2 linked regions of the Lonchura striata genome follow. The protein of the gene in region 2 purifies or fractionates together with the protein of the main gene of each other region. This does not show direct contact. Links are inferred from orthologs where the notes say so. Each region holds a gene or a part of one and is shown on either strand. Other genes may lie near its edges.

Region 1 (9,690 bases), on a different chromosome or scaffold from region 2:
GACATCAGTAAGCACAATTTTGTGGTTGCAGTTGCCAGTGTCAGACCAGAATGATGATGGAACAGTCACTTCTCCCCTTAATTTTCCCAACTATATAATTTTGAGCAGGTGATTCAAAGCATAGCAGATTGTTGTGTGCATGCAGATGCCATTAAAAACACACTGAAGAAATTACAAGCAATCTCCTCTCTTCTAGCATTATGAAAATGATAAAAACACTTGCCTGTCCACTGGGTAAATGGCAAAGGTATATGCACTTTACAGGATATGGGAAGCCCCTGTCACCATAATGCTTAAAACCTTAAAAACTTGATTGAAACTCTTGCTCTTTAGGAAACTGCAAATGTCATGATGAAGACTGAGCTGCTCTGTGCTCCTGTCAGCTGGAGATCCATGTGGCCAGAACCAGTGCTCCAAGAACCCACTGCTGAGCCTGTGCCCATCCAGCAGAGTGGCTGCTGCTCCTTTGACAGAGATCTGTATGTGGGGATCTGCAGGGGTAATCAACCACTGAAATAGCCCCCAGGTTAATATGCCCACATTGTGCTTAGCTCTGTAATTTTAGGTGAAGAACATAATCAGCACTGGGTGTGTGAGTGTTGGGAATGCAACAGGAACCTGAAAGTTTTTGGCTTTTATTTTAGTATGTGCCTATAATGTCAGTACTTCAGTCTCAGAGGATTTGCCTACCTGACTATAGTTAAGATCGTGATGTTCTCTCACACAGATCATTGGAGTTTAGCTTTTTTGGGTATCTTTCCTGATCTAAGAATTCATGACAAGTCACTTTACAAGGAAGGGAGAAAACCAGCAGTTTGAAGCAGACTTCAGTCCCTTAGGATCAAAGCCCAAGTCTTCTGATGAGCCTACAGCACCAAACGGTGCCTAGTCCAGACTGAGAGTCGTGGTTATTGCAGTGGGGTATGGCATAGAACTGAATATCTGCTATTTTTGCATGCTTTATTTAGTGAATCTTCTATGCAAACCACTTGGGTTCCTGTTTACGTATCAAACTCCCCACAGCATATCTGCCCCTTGTCATGGCTATCATTATTCCTGGTGAAGAGGAGTGTACTGCTCTCACTTGGGAGTTAACAGCAGTGACACCCTGCCATCCTAGGGCTGTCTGGCTTTAGCATCCCAGGAACAGAGGCAGGAAACCACAGCAAGGTCTCCTGTCCAGCCTATTCTAGGACTTTCAGCAAGCCATGAGGAAGAGCAGCAAGGCCTCATTCAGTGCTGCTCTCCAGCAATGTTACCAGTTCAGATGATAGCAGTTTTGTAGGAAATTAATTGGAGAATTACAGACGAACTCATACATCTATTTAGTCTCCAGATGAATTTCTATAAAGCAAATGCACAATGTTTCAGCATGACTATATTTATTATTTTTTTCCAGAGAGCCTGCTATTGTTTTGCTATTGAGAAATACACCTTCAAACATTGGATTAGTTAAGTTTTAGAAGCACAAGTATGTTTATTATATTTGGCACTGTGAAAAGCACTTCTAATTTCTATTTATATTGAGCTAGATTCTTCACTGAGACCAAAACTGTGTTGTTTGTTTAAAAGCTATTAATGCCTAGACTGAGATACCAGCTCTGTGATCCTAATAAGATGTCATACAGTTTTTTCCTCTGAGTACAGCCCACCTTTTAAAAAGGGAGGAACAAATTCACTGTTGGCCCACAGAGGTGCTGTCATTACTTGAATCATGGAACAGAGCTTGTTCTACTGGGGGTTAACTCAGTAATTCCACTTCATCTTACCATTCTAATCTTTCTTCTAATGCCTGACTGTATTTTTATCCAAAGTTTCATAATTTAAAAATTTAGAAATAATTTTTAAAAGTGATACTGAATTAATTGTTACCTATATATGTGTTAAAAATGGGTGGGAACAGGAGTGCCTGCTCTTTTGGCGTGGTATCAATACACTGTCTGGAAATCATCCATTCTTTGCCACTAAATCCTACATTCAGTATTTTTGGGTAATGTAATACCAAGGCTCAGTTGATGCATCTTATCCTGAAGCACTTAATAAACTAGAGTTAACAGATGTGAAATTTGAAGAAGCGCTCAGGGAATCTAGGGACTTCCCTGAAAATTAGGGTTTATAGACTATAATCCCACTGATGATAGCTGAGTGATAAAACCCACATTGTTTGTATTTATAACAATTCTTGAGTGATTTCATTGTTCTCAAAGAAAAAAAAAAAGCTGCTTTTGTTCATTGTTGATACAAAGTCACTCTTGTTGTTGCAGACCAGGCACTTCCTACTTTACCTGGGTATTTTTATCCACAGTACTTTGCTGTGTTTGAGAGATAAGCCCTTACTCCAGACTCTGAATCACACTTCCCTCTCAGATTTGGGGAATGTCAGATCCAGATCGGGATCCAAACTTTCTAGTTTGGGCCTGTCTTTCATCATGGTAAATCAACAGTCGGCAAATCTAAACAATATGTTCATGTTGAAATCTGGAGGGTTTTTTTAATTGTACTTCCTTTCTAGCAAACAACGGACGTTTATTTTCTTCTCTTCAGGACAGAAAACTGTTTACTCTGTGATCTTATTTTTTAAACTGCTGCTTCATTTGCAGGGGGAAGTCCTAATGACCTTGCTCACCACGAAGCCTGGGAGCTTATCAATCAGGAGAGGGTTTGTCAGGAAGGTGAGAAAGCTCTCCTGAAATCAGATCTATTACCAGAGATCCCCCTGCCCCCACTGTCTCACAGCCAGTGAACTCCTATACTTACATGCACTCTTTACTTCTAGATGTAACTACAGCCTGAAGACTCAAAATTAGTTGATAAATTAATTTTGTCCGTGTTTTTGTTAAGGAAAATACATGTCCTCTGAGCTGCCCGCAAGTTTTCCACACTGATGATGAATTTAATTTTAAATACATCTTTAAGGACTACCTACATTTTAATACACACTACGTATTTTGTAAGTAATGCATGGTAGGTCAAAATGTGATCACAAACCCAGATTTTTCCTTTCCATTAGCTTTACATCTTAGAGAGTTCCCACAGCCATTCAATTCTGCCCTGGGTAACTGGGCCAGTACCACGGGGCCTGCTTACTCTGCTAAAGTACCTGAATTGTACATTTTTAAAATTGTGCTGAAATATGCCCCAGTAAACCTAAAGGTGACACACAGAAAATCCCACACTGGCGTAGCTGCTCTGCCAGCAGGAACTACTCTGTACATTGGTGGGAAAGGAGGCATTACTCTTTCTTCACCCTCCATGAAGAAATGGGAAACATTTCTCCTCTGCCTTATCGTTGGCTCCTCTAGCACACCAGCGTACCCAAAATCCAGGAATCCATTTGACACTCGGTAACCCTGATTACAGATATGATCAGTCAGACCTAGCTGATCAAAACGGAAGAAGAAAGTGAATTTCAATAAACATTTACAATCGTCAAAATGATGTGGTAAAAAAGCCTCTTATTATATCCAATAAGTTTGTAAAGGCAGAGCTGTATTCCCTAGCTTTACTGCTGTAAATGCGTTTTATGCACTTTTATATTGCCAACGGTGCATAGCTGTGGGAAGATGTGCCGTTTCCTAAATTCCAGCCAGCTTCGGATTGCAGAAATGTGATCATCAGTGATCGTATGTTTCTGAAGAAATCCAATCAGTTCTTACAACCCAGTTAACGTTTATGGCACTGTCAATTTGAGAATAAGCAAGATCTCTTAATGACCGAAGAAGACAAATTTTGATAGTGGAAGGGCAGAGAAATGTTAATCTGTCATAGGGGTTTCCACAGCATTGTTTTTAGAGCAGAATGGCTCTCAAAAACCTTACCAAAAATATTGTCATGCTGTAAGCAATAGTTTAAGCAATTTGTCATGTTTTGAGCCATTCCTACTGTGAAAGCAGGATGGCCTCGAGTGCAACATCCAGAATCACTACCCCAGCCCCTCCATGGGCAATTCCTTAATGCAGCCTGTCCAATGTGGAAAGGGATACTGAGCATCCTCCCAGGTACTCTGGTACCTCGTTATTTAATCATCTGGTATATTATAGGAATACTGTAAGGGAAAACTCTGAGGGCAGAGAAGCAGAACTGGCATCCCATGCTTTTGGGGAAGCTTGCTGGAAGCACCCCAAGAGGTTTAAAGGAGCCTGGCCCTTCCTAGAGTCTAAAATGCTGGGGCTGCCTGAGCCTCTCACCTATGTGGGGCAGGATGCCTCATTTTTGGGGATGCCCTTTGTCCAGAGAAGGGCACTAATCTGGTGAAGGGCCTGGAGAAAAAGTCTTACAAGGAACAGCTGAAAGAGCTGAGGGTTTTTAGCCTGGAAAAAAAGGAGGCTCAAAGAGGATCTTATAATTCTACAGAACTCCCTGACAGGAGGGTGTAGGCAGGTGGAGCTCAGTCTCTTCCCGGACAATCAATGACAGGACCAGAGAACACAGTCTTATGCTGCACCGAGAAAGGTTTAGGCTGGACATTAGCAAAAAATTCTTCACAGGAAGGGTGTTTTGACATTGGAATGGGCTGCCCATTCCAGTGGGAGGTGATGGAGTCACTGTCCCTGGAGGTGTTTAAGGAACGACTGAAGCGGCACTTAGCGCCATGGTCTGGTTGACGTGGGGCGATCGGTCATAGTTTGGACTCGCTAACCTGTCTTTTCAAACCTAATTGATTCTGTGATTCTGTGAAATTGTCCATGCTCCAGGCAGCCGGCTCACAGGCCGAGTCAGGAGAAGCCTCGTCCCTCCCCTCCCGGGGCACAGCGTCCCCACCGCTCCGGCCCAAGGCCGGGCCGGTGCCAGGGGAAGGGGGAACACGGAGCCGCCCGGGGCCAGGAAACGCCGCCCCCGGGGCCTGGGGCCGGGCCGGCGGGTGGGCGGAGGGGCCGGGCAGGCGGGCGCTGCTCCGCCGCGCTGCGGGAGCTCGGAGGGTGGCGAGGCCGCGAGCCCCGTCCGGGGAGCGGCGCTGAGCGAGCGGGGCGGCCCCTCGGCTCGGGCGGGAAGCGGCGGCGGCGGGGCCCGGCGGCCGCGCCGCGGAGGGTGCGAGCGAGCGCCGCGGGACGAGCCCGGCCCGGGCGGCGGCAGCGGGCCCGGGGCTGCGGGGGGAGGCGGCGGCGGAGAGAGGCGAGGGGCGGCCTCGCAGGGCGGAGCGGCGGGGAAGGCGAGCCGGCTGCCGGAGCGGGCGTGCGAACCCCACGGGCCGAGCGTCTGCGAGAGGGGGAGGAGGAGCCGCCCCGCCGCCCGGGGATGGTGAGGAGGAGGCGGCGGCTGCCGGGAGCCCAGTGAGGCCTTCGCTCGGCGCCCGCCGCAGAGCCCGCCCGCCTCGCCGGCCGCCCCCTTCCCCCGCTCGCTCGCTCGCTGGCTCGCTCCCCCCTTCCCTCCCCTTCCCCTGACTCCCTCCCCAGCTCCCTTCCCCTGCCGCCGCCGCCGCCTCCTCCGGGGCTCCAGCCATGTAAGTGACCCGCTCTCCGGCTGGGAAGGGCTGGGGGAAGGAAGCGCCGGGGCCGGGGCCTGCTCGGCGCGGCCGCATTGTGCGGGGCCGGGAGGGAAGGGAAGGGCCGGGAAAGGGGGCGGCCGCTTTCCCTTCGCCTTCCCCGGGTGTGCGCTGCCCCCGCGGCCCCCGGGCACGGCCAGGCGGGGTGGGGGCGAGGAGGCCCGGGCTGCGGCCGCCCCGGCCGGTCGGTCGGTCCTGCCGGCGGCCCGGGGCGGACAGGAAGCTGTTGGCTCCCCGGGGATGCGGTGGGAGAGAGGGCGGCGGGGCGGGGGGCTCCTCCCGGGCCTGCCCCCGCCCCGGGCCCTGCGCGAGCATCCCCCGGGGAAGCGGCGGTGGGGGCGGCTGGGGGGTGGTTTGTGCTATTTGTGAAACAGCGGCGAGCAAAGTAGCCGAGGGCCCCCCATTTTCCCACCTCCCCCGCCCCCATTTTCTCCTCTTGTCTTCTGCGGCCGCGTTGTTCAGCCCAGCTCCGCTTTGCGGACCACTGAGTGTTTGCCGACGGGGTTGTGATTCCCTCCGTGGGCATTTCGCGTGTGTAGGTGGCTGTGCAGCGCTTGTGGACTTGAATTTTTTTTTCTTTTTTTTTTTTTTTTCTTTTTTTTTTTTTTTTTCTTTTTGCAGTCGTGTTTTGCAGAGGTGTAGGGAGCTGTCTGCCGAATTCCCCCCCACCCCTCCAGGTGAAGCAGCTGCCGAAATGTTCTTAGAGACTTGTAGGACTTGTGTCTGCTTCGTTGTAAAACCCATAATCAAACATATAAACGTTCTGGTACTTTCAATTTATTTTACTGACAGGACGCTAGTGATGCAGATACAGCTTGCACCTTATTGGTGGTGTGTGCCCCCCCTCCCCGGCCACCCTTTTGGGAAATATTTAACTGTTTTGCTTTGTTTTCCTACCACCTTTATCATGTAAGAAGCAAATTAATGATTTGCGCTAGTTTGTTTTATTTATACCACAGGAGGGACGTACATTTCAAAATACAGTTATAAAAGGGAGTTACTAACACTTAATGCTGAAGAGTATTTGTTTGCAGGTAAATAAATTTGACATACTGCATGACTAGTAATTACTTTCATGTAGTAGTTTCATGGTGACAGCCACAACATTTGTCTGAGTTAGCAGATTTAAAGACCCTGTGGAACTACCTTTGATATTTTTAAATAATAGGGTTTGTGTTGTGTGTGGCGTTTATAGAACTGTTTTTGGTGTGCAGCAGCGGTAAATCAAATTTAAAAATTGATCCAGTGTCCACAATTCACTTTCAGCTCCAGTGTTCACTTTACAGTCTTATGAAAATGTCCTGTAAGTGATTACATTAACAATTAAATAGTTACACAACTGTCTTGATTTCTTTGGGGACTGAACAAAACTTCAATTACAAATACTTCAAAATGGAATTTGATTAAATCTATCTCAGGTAGGCAGCGAAGTTCTGAGCAGCACAGTTCTTAAATCATATGAGCATAAACTGTAAAAGGACTTGTTCTTGTTTGGGAACATAAAGAAGATTTTGTCTGGGCTGCAGAGGGGCTTATGAAGAAGTCACTTTTCTGCCATCCCTCAGTTTTGAAATAGGTAGCTTAGTTTGTCCTATCAAACTGTTGTTGTGTTTGCAGCATGGACAGTTGGATGTCGTAACTGTGGCCCCTCGCCTGAACAGCGTTAACCTCCTGTCTATTGATCAGCAGAGGCAGGAGAACACAAATATTTCAAATTACTGTTTTGTAAACCTAGATTAGGCTAATAGATTGAAAGAAAAAAAAAAAAAAGGGTGAGATGTGGCTGTAGAGATTTTTGTTTTCCAATTACCATTTTCCCCATAACTTAGTATCTGTGAATCCGTTGCGAACCTTGTGATCTGCTGCACTTGCTGCCATGAAATTCCAGCTTAGATGTGGTGTCATTGGACACACACAGCGCACAGTAGTAAATACTGGTGGCCACACCTAAGTCGTGGCCCACAATGCCTTTTTTGTAAGGGAAGCTAAGATGGTGGCACAACCTGGTCCTTCTAAGCTTCCTTGAAAGCTGTCTGCCCAGATTTGGTAACTGGGTCATGGTGCAAAGCTGCTGCAGGCACAGAGGGCCTTGAGCACGTTGGAATCACTGTTGCTCCTGTGAAACAGCCAGGGCAGGATTTGCGTAACGCGGGAGATGTACTTCACTGGTCAAAGCCTGGTGGGAACATCTATCTGTACGCTCCACTTGAAATGTTGGCTGGAGCCCAACTTTGTTGTGTCTGTGCTGTTTAGGTGCCGTTGGCTGTCAGCTGGGAGCACTGGGAGGAGAGAGTAGGTTGCTGGTGGCATCCCGTGTAACGGGCCTGAACGCACCGCCCTGGCCCAGTCCAGTGCTCGTGTACCTTGTCTGCTCTCATGAAAGTGTCATGTGGCCACAGTAGGCAAACTTGGGTAGCTGGATTCCGTTTTGCCTGGTCCTGCTGCTGTGCATTATGAGAACGTGTACGGATGTGTAGCATGTTTGAGCTCAGAGTGTCCTGGGAGAATCACGAATGTGCCACACCAGGGCAGTGGGCATCAGTAACTGGTGGTGTGACAGGGCAAAGTGTTAGCCCAGGGGAATGCTTTTTTGTAATCTGCTTTGTGATCTGGGCTAACAAGTGCAGCCCAGAAACAGTCTGATGTGCCAGGACTGAGGCTGGTGGGTCAGTCTCCCTTTAGTCCCTTGCTTACTCTCCCTCATAAAGATGAGGTGATTACCATAGGTGCTCCTGCATCCCGTAAGCTTAAGCTTCAGCTTAATGGAAGACTTCCTTTTCTTTCTGATCTGCTCTAGGGCATGAGTGGAAACAAATACAAAACTTTACATTGAAAAGAGGACAGGAAGTACAGATTTGTATTTCTACTTTCTTAGAGAAAAAAGAAGGTGAGGATAATGTATAGAAGAGAATGAGAGAAAGAGCTCTAACACAATTCTCCCAAATACGGAAAAAGGGGTTCTGCTCCACCTTCTGTTGGATGGTTGGTTTGACTGATTCCTTAAAGCAGGTTTAATTGCTCCAGTGCCTACAGAAGTGAGTTATCTCATTATTTACGAAGAACTTAATAACCTTTAAGGAGTTAATATGTACGCAAAACTGGTGTCACCATGATACGATGCTGATGTCATACCATTCATGATTTACAGCACTTCAGCTGCATGAGGACTACTGCAGTGTTAAAAAAAGTATTACAGAAATGCGTACTGAAAAACAAGCAAAGAGGAGACTAAGAAAAAGACCAGGTTGTTTAGCTTTTGACAGTATTCAGTCCTGTGCAGACATAGACTGGAGCAGCCAGGTCATACTTACCTCAGATGCCCTCTCTTCACTGGGAACCATTCCTAGATGGCCATAAATGAGGACTGTAATCATTCCTTTTCTTTTTTTTTTTTTTTTTTTTTCCCTCTAAGGATTTTATGGAAAAGGAACTTTTTCTGGTTTACACATCTTCAGTAGTACATTGACCTATAGTTAACTTGCTCTTCTATTCCAAGAAATTACTCTTGCTTGCTGCCACTGTCTTCAATAACATCTCTTATAAAATAGATGTATTAGACACAGCTTCAATATGTGTTTGAAAATACAGTAGATAGAGCAGTTTTGCTGCTGCTGAAGCTGTGCCTATGGACATCTTGTTAGACAGTGAGAAGGGATCCCCAGCTCTTCACATTGCAAATTAAAAATAGCTTAAGTTTCTCCATGTGAAGTAAGTGCTCTGACATGGCTGACTGAAGGACTGAGGTGGGACCCGTGATGCAGGTTGGTGTCAGGAAGTGTTTAATGTTTTTCCACTTTGTTGTGCCACAGCTTCTTTACAAAACTCTCCGCCCCCTTCACCACCCCTCTCCCCTGAAAGGAGGAGGGCAGGTAAAGACACATCCCTGAGAGCATGGCTTCAATAGTAAGTGGGAAATGTTTCTTGGGTAGGAATGGTAGGGAAAAGGCAGTCCAAGCTGCTTGGACACCACAGAGAGTAGAAAAAATAGTCCCTCTGAACTTTGTATTTCTTAGTTGATCTGCTTTTTTTGGCTCTGTTGTCATTCAAATTTGGATTATTAAATGACAGTTTAGCTGATGACAAGCAGGAAGCTGCCAAGTTGTAATCCTGGCAAGTGTTAACGCAGGAAAAACGGGAGTAAGTTAGCTGCAGATTGGAGAATTCTGGTCCTTCATCCTTTTGCATGTTTTTAATAACAGTATTGCCCT
Region 2 (9,750 bases):
AATGTGCAGCCAAGAAGGTTCTTGCCTCTTTTCTTCTCTCTTTGTATTATGAAAATATTTATACTTACTCTCGTTTGTAATACACTTTGAAGTGCACTGCTGAAGAACATGTAGTAGTGTTGATATTACTTGTATGGAAGTGGTTTTGGAACCAGAAACACAGATCAAACCTTGCTGAAAATTATTTAGGGAGCTGTAGGTACAAATAACCTCCTGGGTCATAAGAATCCAGTGTTACTGAATATTTAAACAAAAGGGCAACTCTAAGATCACTTACAGCCTCTAACTTTTATTTCAAGCATTGAGTAATGCAAACTCACCTGTTCAAGAATAGTTCTTAATCATATCCTCGATATAAGAACACTTTAAAAAGTAAACATTTCTCTAAATAAGCACCATTTTAAATGCTTTACTACACTGAAAGCCTTACATGCCAAGATGAGCACAACTGCTATGGAACATACACACACTATCGTGCTCATGTTCACAGCTGGAAATTTCAGTTCCTTGTTATCTGTATATACAATTTGTACCTATAGCTGTGGCAATTGCAAATATGAATGAGGGGCACAAGTGCACACCTAGTATTTTGGAAAATGAAATTAATCGAAATAATGATAAAATATTATTTTGAGAACAGTTTCCATATGATAACATTCAATTTCTCTTTAGAAAAAAGGGTATTCTTACTACATTGTTTAATTTGAAATGGTCCCTTCGCTTATCCATCTCCTGGTCTATGAATTACACATACAGTGGCAAACGTCTTTTGTTTCAGCATTTTGACATTGAAATAAGTCTCTTGCTTTGTTATCTGTACAAAAACAGGCTACTAAAGAAGAGAGCTGAGTAAGCTCCCTAACACTTTTCAGGGTTGAAGGACATTAAATTCTTTCTTTCTAAGCTCTCTTTCCACCTTCACTTGTTAACTGGAATCACTAAAGTGATTCACACCTTTTTGAAACACAGATGAACATTTAGCAGCATCATTGAAGATGACTTATAGCAGAGAAAGTATAAATATAATCTTTCCCACACTAGCATTTCTCAGCACTCAGCTTTTGATCCAGAACTGACTTGTCAGTCAATTTTTCTGTAGTCAGGGACTGGGGATTAAGCAATTCCTATTTAATGATGACATATTATTTTGCAATGATATCTTTGAAAACAAAACTGAAAGTCGGTATTCACTGTGTATTTGATTTAACTAAAAACAATCCTTTTGAGTATAGATCATGGTAAAACTGAGTCTACAAAAGCTGCTTACTATCCCCCTGCAGAAGACATTTCTGAAAAATTAGACAGAACAAATAAGAATTGTCTGGCAAAATATTAACTGTAGCTAAACCAAGATGTTATCAGAAATGAAGGGGTATAATGCTTACAAAGAACAGAACCAGCAGCAATATAAGATGGACCTTCTCCTTTTTTCTGTATTCATAATGAAAGAGTAAGGAAAACCACAGACACTAGCTGATGCCCATAATCTGTCCCTTCCCTTGCAGAAACATCTAATAACAGCACAGTGTATCCCCGAGGGCTTTAAAGGAATCTGTGCGAATTGGGGAAGGCAGATTTCAGAAGAGGCTGAGCAAGAATTAACACACTCCAAGTACCTCTGCAGTTACTCAGTCAGCTCCAGGAATGTGTATGCAGTCTCATGCCTCCTGCTGTAGCTGTAGCAGCTGCCAGCACAAATGTAGACAGTGAAGATCACAACAGCTCCAGCCTCTGTGAGGATTTCAGATAAGGTCTGGTAACTCTGGATGTAACACTGTGCTCAAAAGTCTTCTTGTGGTTTCAAGACCTTCCAGCATTTCCCTGCACTTATGTGTGAGAGTGTATAATTTGTTCATTCAGTATAAAAAGTGTTGGTATGGAGTAATTTCTAGTAATCTCAGATAAATTACTTTTTATTCCCTCATTTTTTGTTGCCAGCTCCTGTAATCAGAATACTCCTCCTCAAGATCATCTGAGTCCAGTCAGAAAACTGCAGACTGCAAACCACCCTGTTTCATTTTACCTGTCTCCCAAACAGCTGTCATCAATCCAACTTTGGAAAAGGGAAATGTGTGTTTCACCCTTCCACTTCCTCCTGTCAAACATCAATTTCACAAACCCCATTCCCATGTCTGAGAACACCAGTTAATCCCTATCAAAATTCAAAATTTCAAGAGAGTTTAAGAGTATATATGAGATACCGGGAAATGGAAAATAGCAGAGCTTTCTTATAAGCTGGAGAGTTCAATTTACATATGAAATTTAAAGATTTCAGGCACACTTCCCTGCACAATGCAAAAATAATCAGGCTGGGTACTGCTAACATTTGGAGGTGCTAGGCCGCTACAGCTACTGCACCTTCATATTCAGCAAAGCATGAAAATCGACCACACGCTCCTTTTTCTTCTCACAGCTCAACTCAGGGCTCATAGGATGCCAGGAGCTCATTGCAAACTTCTGCTCCTGAACAAATTCCATGGGGCAGAGATAAATCCAACAACTTCCCCACTCCCTCTGGACTTTAGTACAGCTACTTTGTTTTTAATTGCATAAACCATTTATGAGTGGGGCTGCTGGCAGAGGTGAATTGCCAGAGCTGCTGGCAAGAGGGAGAGTGAGGTCAGCTCAGTCCCCAGCCACTTCTCTGAGTTGTATCGCAGACGGCGGCTGCTCCGTGTGGACTCGCAGAGAAAATCCAGAGCTGGGGCCATACCAGTCCAACCCATGGAGGATCTGCTCCAAAGCTGTCCAAATGACCTTAACTGTGTGTTCCTACACTGTGGGATTTATCTCCTCAGAGGACACAACAAGAGTGTGTTTATGTCTACCCAAGAGAGAAAACAAAGCCTGCCAGGGAATACTGTTGCTGCTTCTAAGCACCTCGGGGTAGAGGCTCTGGAGCTAAAAAAAACAAAAAACCCACAGCTATTTGAGTCAAAGGGCAGTGCAAAGCTGGCATATGAGCAAATGTGCATAGGCTACCCAGGTGTAAAATTCAGGCCGAAAATTGGAAGGGATGTCCCAACAGGGAGGACCAGGATGACCCTGGGGCAGTCTTCAGTTAGGGCAGAGGACAAATCAGCTGAGCTCAGTTCAAACTGATGTTCAGCTTGTTTATCTGCTGCGTTAGGGGGACCTCACTAACATGTAGGATGTGGCATCTCCACCCACAAGGGACAACACTGGAAGCCCCAAGAGATATCTTTTGGTTCTGTGTTCTGGACTTTTTCTGTGTGTGGATGAACATTCAGGTATTTGAACACTTCGAGAAAGGCAGATCTCTCCTGCCACTCCTAGCAAAGAAGAGAAGGCCTGGAAACTGTTTGCTAAAAACATTTCAAGTACCATCATTAACAATAATGTCCCTAGAGCTTGCTGTCTCCTTCTGAGTGTGTGTGTCTTTGTGTGTGTGTGTGTGTGTTTGCATGTTGAACATTTCCCTAACACATTTAAATTGGGGGGGGACTCTGTGAAGTAGGTAGCAAAGCAGCAGAAACAAATCAGAATACAACAAACAGCCAGAACCAAAGCTCATCTGCTCAGTTCTGACCTTTAAAGTCTTTAATGGCCAAGTGCTGCTGTCATCTTCTGTCAGCTTGTGTTCTTGAATTCCAAAGAAGATCCTACTGGTGATTGCAACTCTAGATACAGCTCGACACAAACTCCACAATCGGAACAGTTAATTTTCAGATTGTTCTGTTCAGAAAGTGGGTGGTTTTCACACACAGTAAACTCAGCTTTGTTATTAAAAAAAACTTTAAAAAGGCAGCTACATGGTTGCATTGTAAGTTTTTTTGCTGTGCCCTGTTTCATCTGCTTCTATGTGGTATGAACACAGTAATGTGGAACTGTGGAGAAATGTTTTATTAGGAGAAGTAAACCTTAATTTTATTATGGCTGTGGTTTATTTTGGGGTTCATATGTTACACGAGTGCACTAAAAAGACTGACCAGCTAAAAATAATGTTTCACTAAGAGTTTATCTCAGGATTCTTAGTGATGATTTATCTCCCCTAATATTGACATAACTGGTCAATTGCCCGGAACTCCCAGTTTATTGCAGTCTACTGCGTTTTTCATGAGTATCTGGCACAATGCTTCGCTGTGATTTTACAAAATGTATTAAAAAGGAGAGATCTCAGGCAGTTACAACCCTATCCAGCCTGCATTACTCAGCTAAAACATCTCCACGACCGTAAGAGATTTCTCTGAATTCCACAGTATGGTGTCCTTGCAGTATAAAAACTCACACGTTTACAATGCTAATCGAATGCATCAGATTTTCCTTTTCAGTAATTTGTTTTAAATCATGGGACATGTTTTTTTGAAAAAAATGTTTCTATTTAATTGCTACTTCTCAGCGATCTTCTACAAGTAGGCATCTTAGGTAAGTTTGGTCCCTGAAATGCAGTGACAGGCTAAAGGTACTGAAACCTTCTCTGCGCCTATTCACAAAACAGCTCTTCTTGCGGTATGTGCGCGTATATACACATACATGTTTCCACCCACATTTCCATGTCCCTCTCCATCTTGGATCTGGAAACACCATCTCCCTCCTCAGAGGGGAAGGCTGCCAGGGCTCAGAGCTCGGGTTCTGCGCCGCGGCAGCCAGCGGGGAGAACGCCTCCGACTGGGCAGAGCGCGGCGAGCGCGGTCACCGGGCCCGCCAGACCCTCCGACCGGACCTAGGGAACACGAACACGGAGCGCGGGACACAGTCCTGGAATAATTTTAACACGGATTCAGCCCCGCGCCGTGCCGTGAGGGAGCTCCGGCCCCCCGCCCGGAGCCTGCGCGGCCCCGGGGCCGGCGGGAGCCGCGGGGCTGCCGGGACTCGCGGCCGCCGCGGGACTACAGCTCCCAGCGGCCCCCGCGCGCCGCCCGGGCCGGCTGGGAGTCACGCTGTGTTTATGGGCGAGGCCCCGCCCCGCCGCGCGAGCGGTGGCGTCACCCTCGCGAGCCTCCTTCGCTCCCCGTGGGCTGGTTAATATTCATGAGCCGCGCGCGCGCGGGGAGCGGCGGACGGCGGCGGGATCGCTCGCTCCTCGCCTGCCGGCCCCCCTCCTTAATGGCGCTGGCGACAGCCGGGCAGCGGGACTGAGCCAGGCACCGGCGGAATGCTTCCCGCGGCTGCTACGTAATCCCCCCCCACCCCCGGGACGCGGCGCCGCGCTCCGTTCGGCCCCCCCGCGCCGCGCCGAGCGGCGCTCCCAGCAGGGCGGCGGCGGCGGCATCCCCGGCCCCGCGGCGATGGAGCCCGCGCAGCAGCGAGCGGCAGAAGCCCCGGCGGCGGGAAGCGGGCGGGGGGAGCCGGAGAGCGGCTCCCCGGGCAGGAGGAGTCAGGCGGACAGCGGCGCGGAGCCGTCGGGCGGTGGCGGGCAGCTGGACGGCAAAGCAGCCGGCGGCCCGCGGCGGAGGCGAGGGGGAGCCGGCGGCTTCGCTCCTCCCGCGGCACTGGCGGCCAGCGGGACTCCGGCGGCCCCCGGCGGGGCCGGCAGCGCTAACTCCCTGCTCCTGCGGCGGGGGAGGTTGAAGAGGAACCTCTCCGCCGCCTCCCCCTCTGCCGGCGGCGCTCCGGCCCCCTCGCTGGGCACCCGCAGCTTGGACAGGAAGGCGCTGCTGCTGCTGAAGCCGCCCCGGCAGCTGCAGCCCCTGCAGCCCCCGGAGCGGGACTGGGTGCGGCGGGACCTGCAGCGGGGCTGCGTCCACGTCTACGAGCGGCACATGAACTGCTACCTGCGCCCGGTGCTCTGCACCCTGGAGACCACGGCGGCCGAGGTGGCCGCCCGGCTGCAGCAGCTCGGCCACCGGGGCGGCAGCAGCGTGGTGCGAGTGCTGGGCAAGGCGGGCGCGCCGCCGCCGCAGCCCGAGCCGCCGGCGGGCCCCGCCGAGGCGCCGCCCGAGCCCGCGGCCGAGGGGCTGCGGCCGCAGCCGGACGAGAAGCCCAGGAGCCGGCGGGGGACGCGGAGCGGGCTGTCCGGAGGCGGCTGCGGGGAAGCGGCGCGGCCCGACCGCCTGCCGCTGTGCAGCGGCGCCGAGGAGAACGACTTGGCCGGCGGCCGGCCGAGCCCGGCGCCCTCCGACTTTAGCCCCGGGGCGCTCCCGGCCGAACTGTACCTTGCCGGGCCGCCGCTTTCCTGCCCCTCCCTGCTGGGGGAGCTGGGGCCGACCGGCTCCGACACCGAGAGCTTCAGCCCCAGCGCCGAGAGCGTCTCCGACCGGCTGGACCCCTACAGCAGCGGCGGCGGCGGTGGCTCGTCCTCTTCGGACGAGCTGGAGGTGGAGCCGGCGCCCCCCGACGGGGTGGAAGAAGCAGGTGCGGAGCCGGGCCGGGGCCCCCCCTGCCCGGGGGAGCTGTCCCCGGGGCGGGCAGGGGGGGTGCCGGCGGGCGCGGCCGGCGGGCGGGAGCAGCCAGCGGGGCCGCCCGCCCTGTATGTACAGCTGCACGGGGAGACCAGCCGGCGGCTGGAGGCCCACGAGAAGCCGCTGCAGATCCAGAACGACTACCTCTCCCAGCTGGGCTTCCGGGACCTGTGGCGGGTGCAGGAGGAGGGCATGGACTCGGAGACCGGCTGCCTCATCCGCTTCTACGCCGGTGAGCGGGGCCGGGGGGCGAGCGTGGGGAAGGGGCGGGAGCCGCGCCCACCGCCCCAGCTGGTGGGGCGCCGCGGTGAGCGGAGGGCGTGCGGGCGGCTGGGCGCTGCTCCTCCGCCGGGCTGTCGCGGGGAAGGCGGCCCGGGGCCGTCCCCTGTCGCGGGGAAGGCGGCCCGCGGGTGTCTCCGCGCCGCGCCTGGGAGGGGCCGTGCCGGGAGGTCCCCGGCGGCGGCGGGAAGCGCTGCCCCGAGCCGGCCGCCGGGAGAAGCCGCGGTGTCAGCGGCGCTCACGCTGCTCCAGTGCTGTGCCCGGGGCAGCCTCCCCTTCCTTCAGCGCTTCGGTAATGGAGGTCGCGCTGATGTTGTTTTCCCGTTCCTAGCAGCGGCACTGGGCGTTCGAGGTTAAATCAGCCTTGATCTACTACTGCTTTCCTTAGTGACGAGGAATTGTATCGGTGCCGCTGCCGGGCGCGGGAGGTCGAAGGTTCGTTCCAAGTGTTTGCGGGATGCCGGCAGCTGGCTCACGGTTTAGTGGAGCTGTGTGCTCGCTCCGGGGAACACCCAGCCCGCCCCATCGCGGAGCCGAGGGCACGGCCGGCTCGCTCCCAAGAGGGAAGCCCCGCAGTTCTTGCTCCTGAAATAGGTTACCGCGGTGCATTCCTGCAAACAAAATCCTGCGCTTGGCTTTCTGCGTTGTTGGCATCAGTTTTTCCCGTTAGAGTGATGGGACTTCACTGAGAGACTGAGGGCAGTGAGCGAGAGAAGTAGGGAAGCACAGGTCGTGGTCTTTGGAAGCGGGGTGGTCAAAACCTTTGTAATGAAAAGGGAGAAGCTTCGTAATGCAGCTTTGCTGCTACAACATACAATACAGAATTTGGAGAATGTTGGGTGGAAAAGTTAGCTCCCACGTTGTAATTATGCAACCTTCTGCAGTTTTAGGGAGGTTTAAAAATACCTTGTGTGTCAGTTGAGTTGGTTTGTGTCAAAGACTTACTGTAATCTCAGAACTTCTTGGATTTTAGCTGTCTTATACATCTCCTCAAAAAGAAAACATTCTTTAATGTCCAAATATGCATTCAGCTACCTTTTAAGTTTTCCTGTGAAACAGGTAAATGTGATATCCCGAGATGAGGTCATGCTAGCAAAGTAGCACATGCCTTCCGTCCCCTTGCTGGTTTGGCTGAGCAGGATGGTCCTTCAATGAACCGTGAGAATTCAGTGCTTTAACGCTGAAAGATACAGAGATTCTTTTCTCGAGTGAATTCCACTGAATGTCAAATGGAGTTGGTAATGGTGGGGTGGGAAGGAGAACAGTAAGCTGGATAAGTGCCCTTTTTTATTCTGAAGAGAATGTGGGAGTGGTGGCAAGTGGTCAATTCAGCTTTTCTTCAGATTTTTCTGATTGTACAATGACCCTGGCATAAGTAGTATTTGTTAAGGGAGTTGACAGAAATAGGTTAGATGCATGTGGGTTAGAAAGTAGCTTTCTTACTTTTTTTTTCAGACATGATTGTGGTCTTTTGTGTTTCTTTGCCTGCTCTTGAGGATGGAAGTCAGCAGGTGATGCTGGGAGGGATTGCTTCCTTTATTTCCCACCCCACCATTAAATGGGGATGCACACACGTGTTTTAAATTGGGACAGCTGTGTGCCTCCTTTTTTAACAGGATGTGTTCTAAAGAAAACACAATCAGGAAGCATAGTGAAGTCTTACACACAGTTAAACCTGTTTGCATGTAGTTTTAATGCATTAAGTGATTAATTATACATGCTAAATGAGGATGTTCCAACTTTGTTTTATTTCAGTGTCTCAACTTGACTGCTAATGTAGCTTGTACATTTTAGGCTTCCTTGTACAAAACTACTGGATAGAAGGATATTTCTGTGAACATACATAGGATTAAATTAATGCAAATTTCTTATGCAAGTTCATATGCTAACAAGTATGCCTCTACTTCAAAAGTGCAGCGCTTTTTGAAATCCTTATCTCTTTGAGGGAATCTGTGATCAACATCTAAAACACCTGTGATCAGGTGCTTGTAACAGAAAGGTTGCAGCACCTAATGTACCAGGCCAGCCAAAAACAGCTAAGAAAATATTACTGACACGTAATTATACTGATTTTATGTAACTGTCTTGGCAAGTTATCTCTGCTTCCTTATTTTATACAAACACAACCCAAAGATGAAAGAGAGGGAAGGAGAGACACTTAAAAAGAATACACATCAAATTACACTGGAAAGGGGAGCGATTTTTTTTGGCCTCAAAGTTAAGTGTTTTGCTTTGGAGAAATACCTTTTTAATAAATGATCCTCTAGCATCATACCCTAAGGAAAGCTTTAAAACAGTGATTTCCTGTTTGCCTAAGACTTTGTTGATTTAAGTGGCCTGGCTTGTCCCAGTGGATAGAGAACCACTAGCATCTCTATGCCTGTAATTTCCTGCAAGCTATCTCAGTAGGATTTGGTGATACTTGTCTTTTGCTGATGTGAAATTATACAAACCTAGGTTGGATCTATTGCATTGCTTCTAAAAGGAATTCTTTCACCTAATCCCCCTGGAGTAGGGAGAGGAGAAGAGAGCAAAGTGATGACTTTGGTTTTTGTTTTTTTTTTTATTTTTGAGGAGAGACAGTTTTAAGACTGGAAGACGACTGTATTGAAACTTGCCATTACAAATTCCACATAAGACAATATAGCAAATAGTTTTAGTGATTGCTGTAGGCTGGTAATTTTTCCTGTTGTGGGATCTGGAAAACAGAGATTAAAAAATTATTGGTAGGAAAACTGCAGAGATTCAGATTTTTCTGCTATGACAAAACAGTTTTCTTAATAAATAGCAATCCACAAATATTCTGTAAATGAAATACCTGATAATTTAAAAATCCTCAAAACCAAAATGGGACACTAAGAAGGTAAAAGTGCTTCCTCTACATTGCCTTGGTTTGTTGCAGCATGTGGTTAGTGCATGTTTATTCTGGTGTCTCCTCTCATTTTCTTCCTTAAGAGTATGAATGTGGTTGATTTTGTCAGTGTCTTGACTCTTAAGCACTAAACAATAACACCACTGCTAATACAAAATCCCCTACAGCTTTAAGGGGCTGATCCTACTTCCTGTAACATCAATTTGAGCAAAACCGGGCATAAGTGATTGGTCAGGC

What was found. The genes of interacting proteins can lie anywhere in the genome.
Region 1: the proteins of PHLPP1 (region 2) and AKT1 purify together in Homo sapiens (affinity purification with western blotting, with the first as the bait; 3 studies listed by BioGRID). This does not show direct contact. The link is inferred for Lonchura striata from reciprocal best matches to the Homo sapiens genes PHLPP1 and AKT1.

What each region holds. Positions count from the first base shown.
Region 1 is NC_134608.1:8,656,495-8,666,184, forward strand, and holds the start of AKT1 (RAC-alpha serine/threonine-protein kinase), read left to right. Parts: upstream 1-5,340; 5' UTR 5,341-5,440; intron 5,441-6,140; exon of another isoform or gene 6,141-6,159; intron 6,160-9,690. UniProt on the Homo sapiens protein: AKT1 is one of 3 closely related serine/threonine-protein kinases (AKT1, AKT2 and AKT3) called the AKT kinase, and which regulate many processes including metabolism, proliferation, cell survival, growth and angiogenesis.
Region 2 is NC_134603.1:96,721,745-96,731,494, reverse strand, and holds the start of PHLPP1 (PH domain leucine-rich repeat-containing protein phosphatase 1), read left to right. Parts: upstream 1-5,249; coding exon 5,250-6,594; intron 6,595-9,750. UniProt on the Homo sapiens protein: Protein phosphatase involved in regulation of Akt and PKC signaling.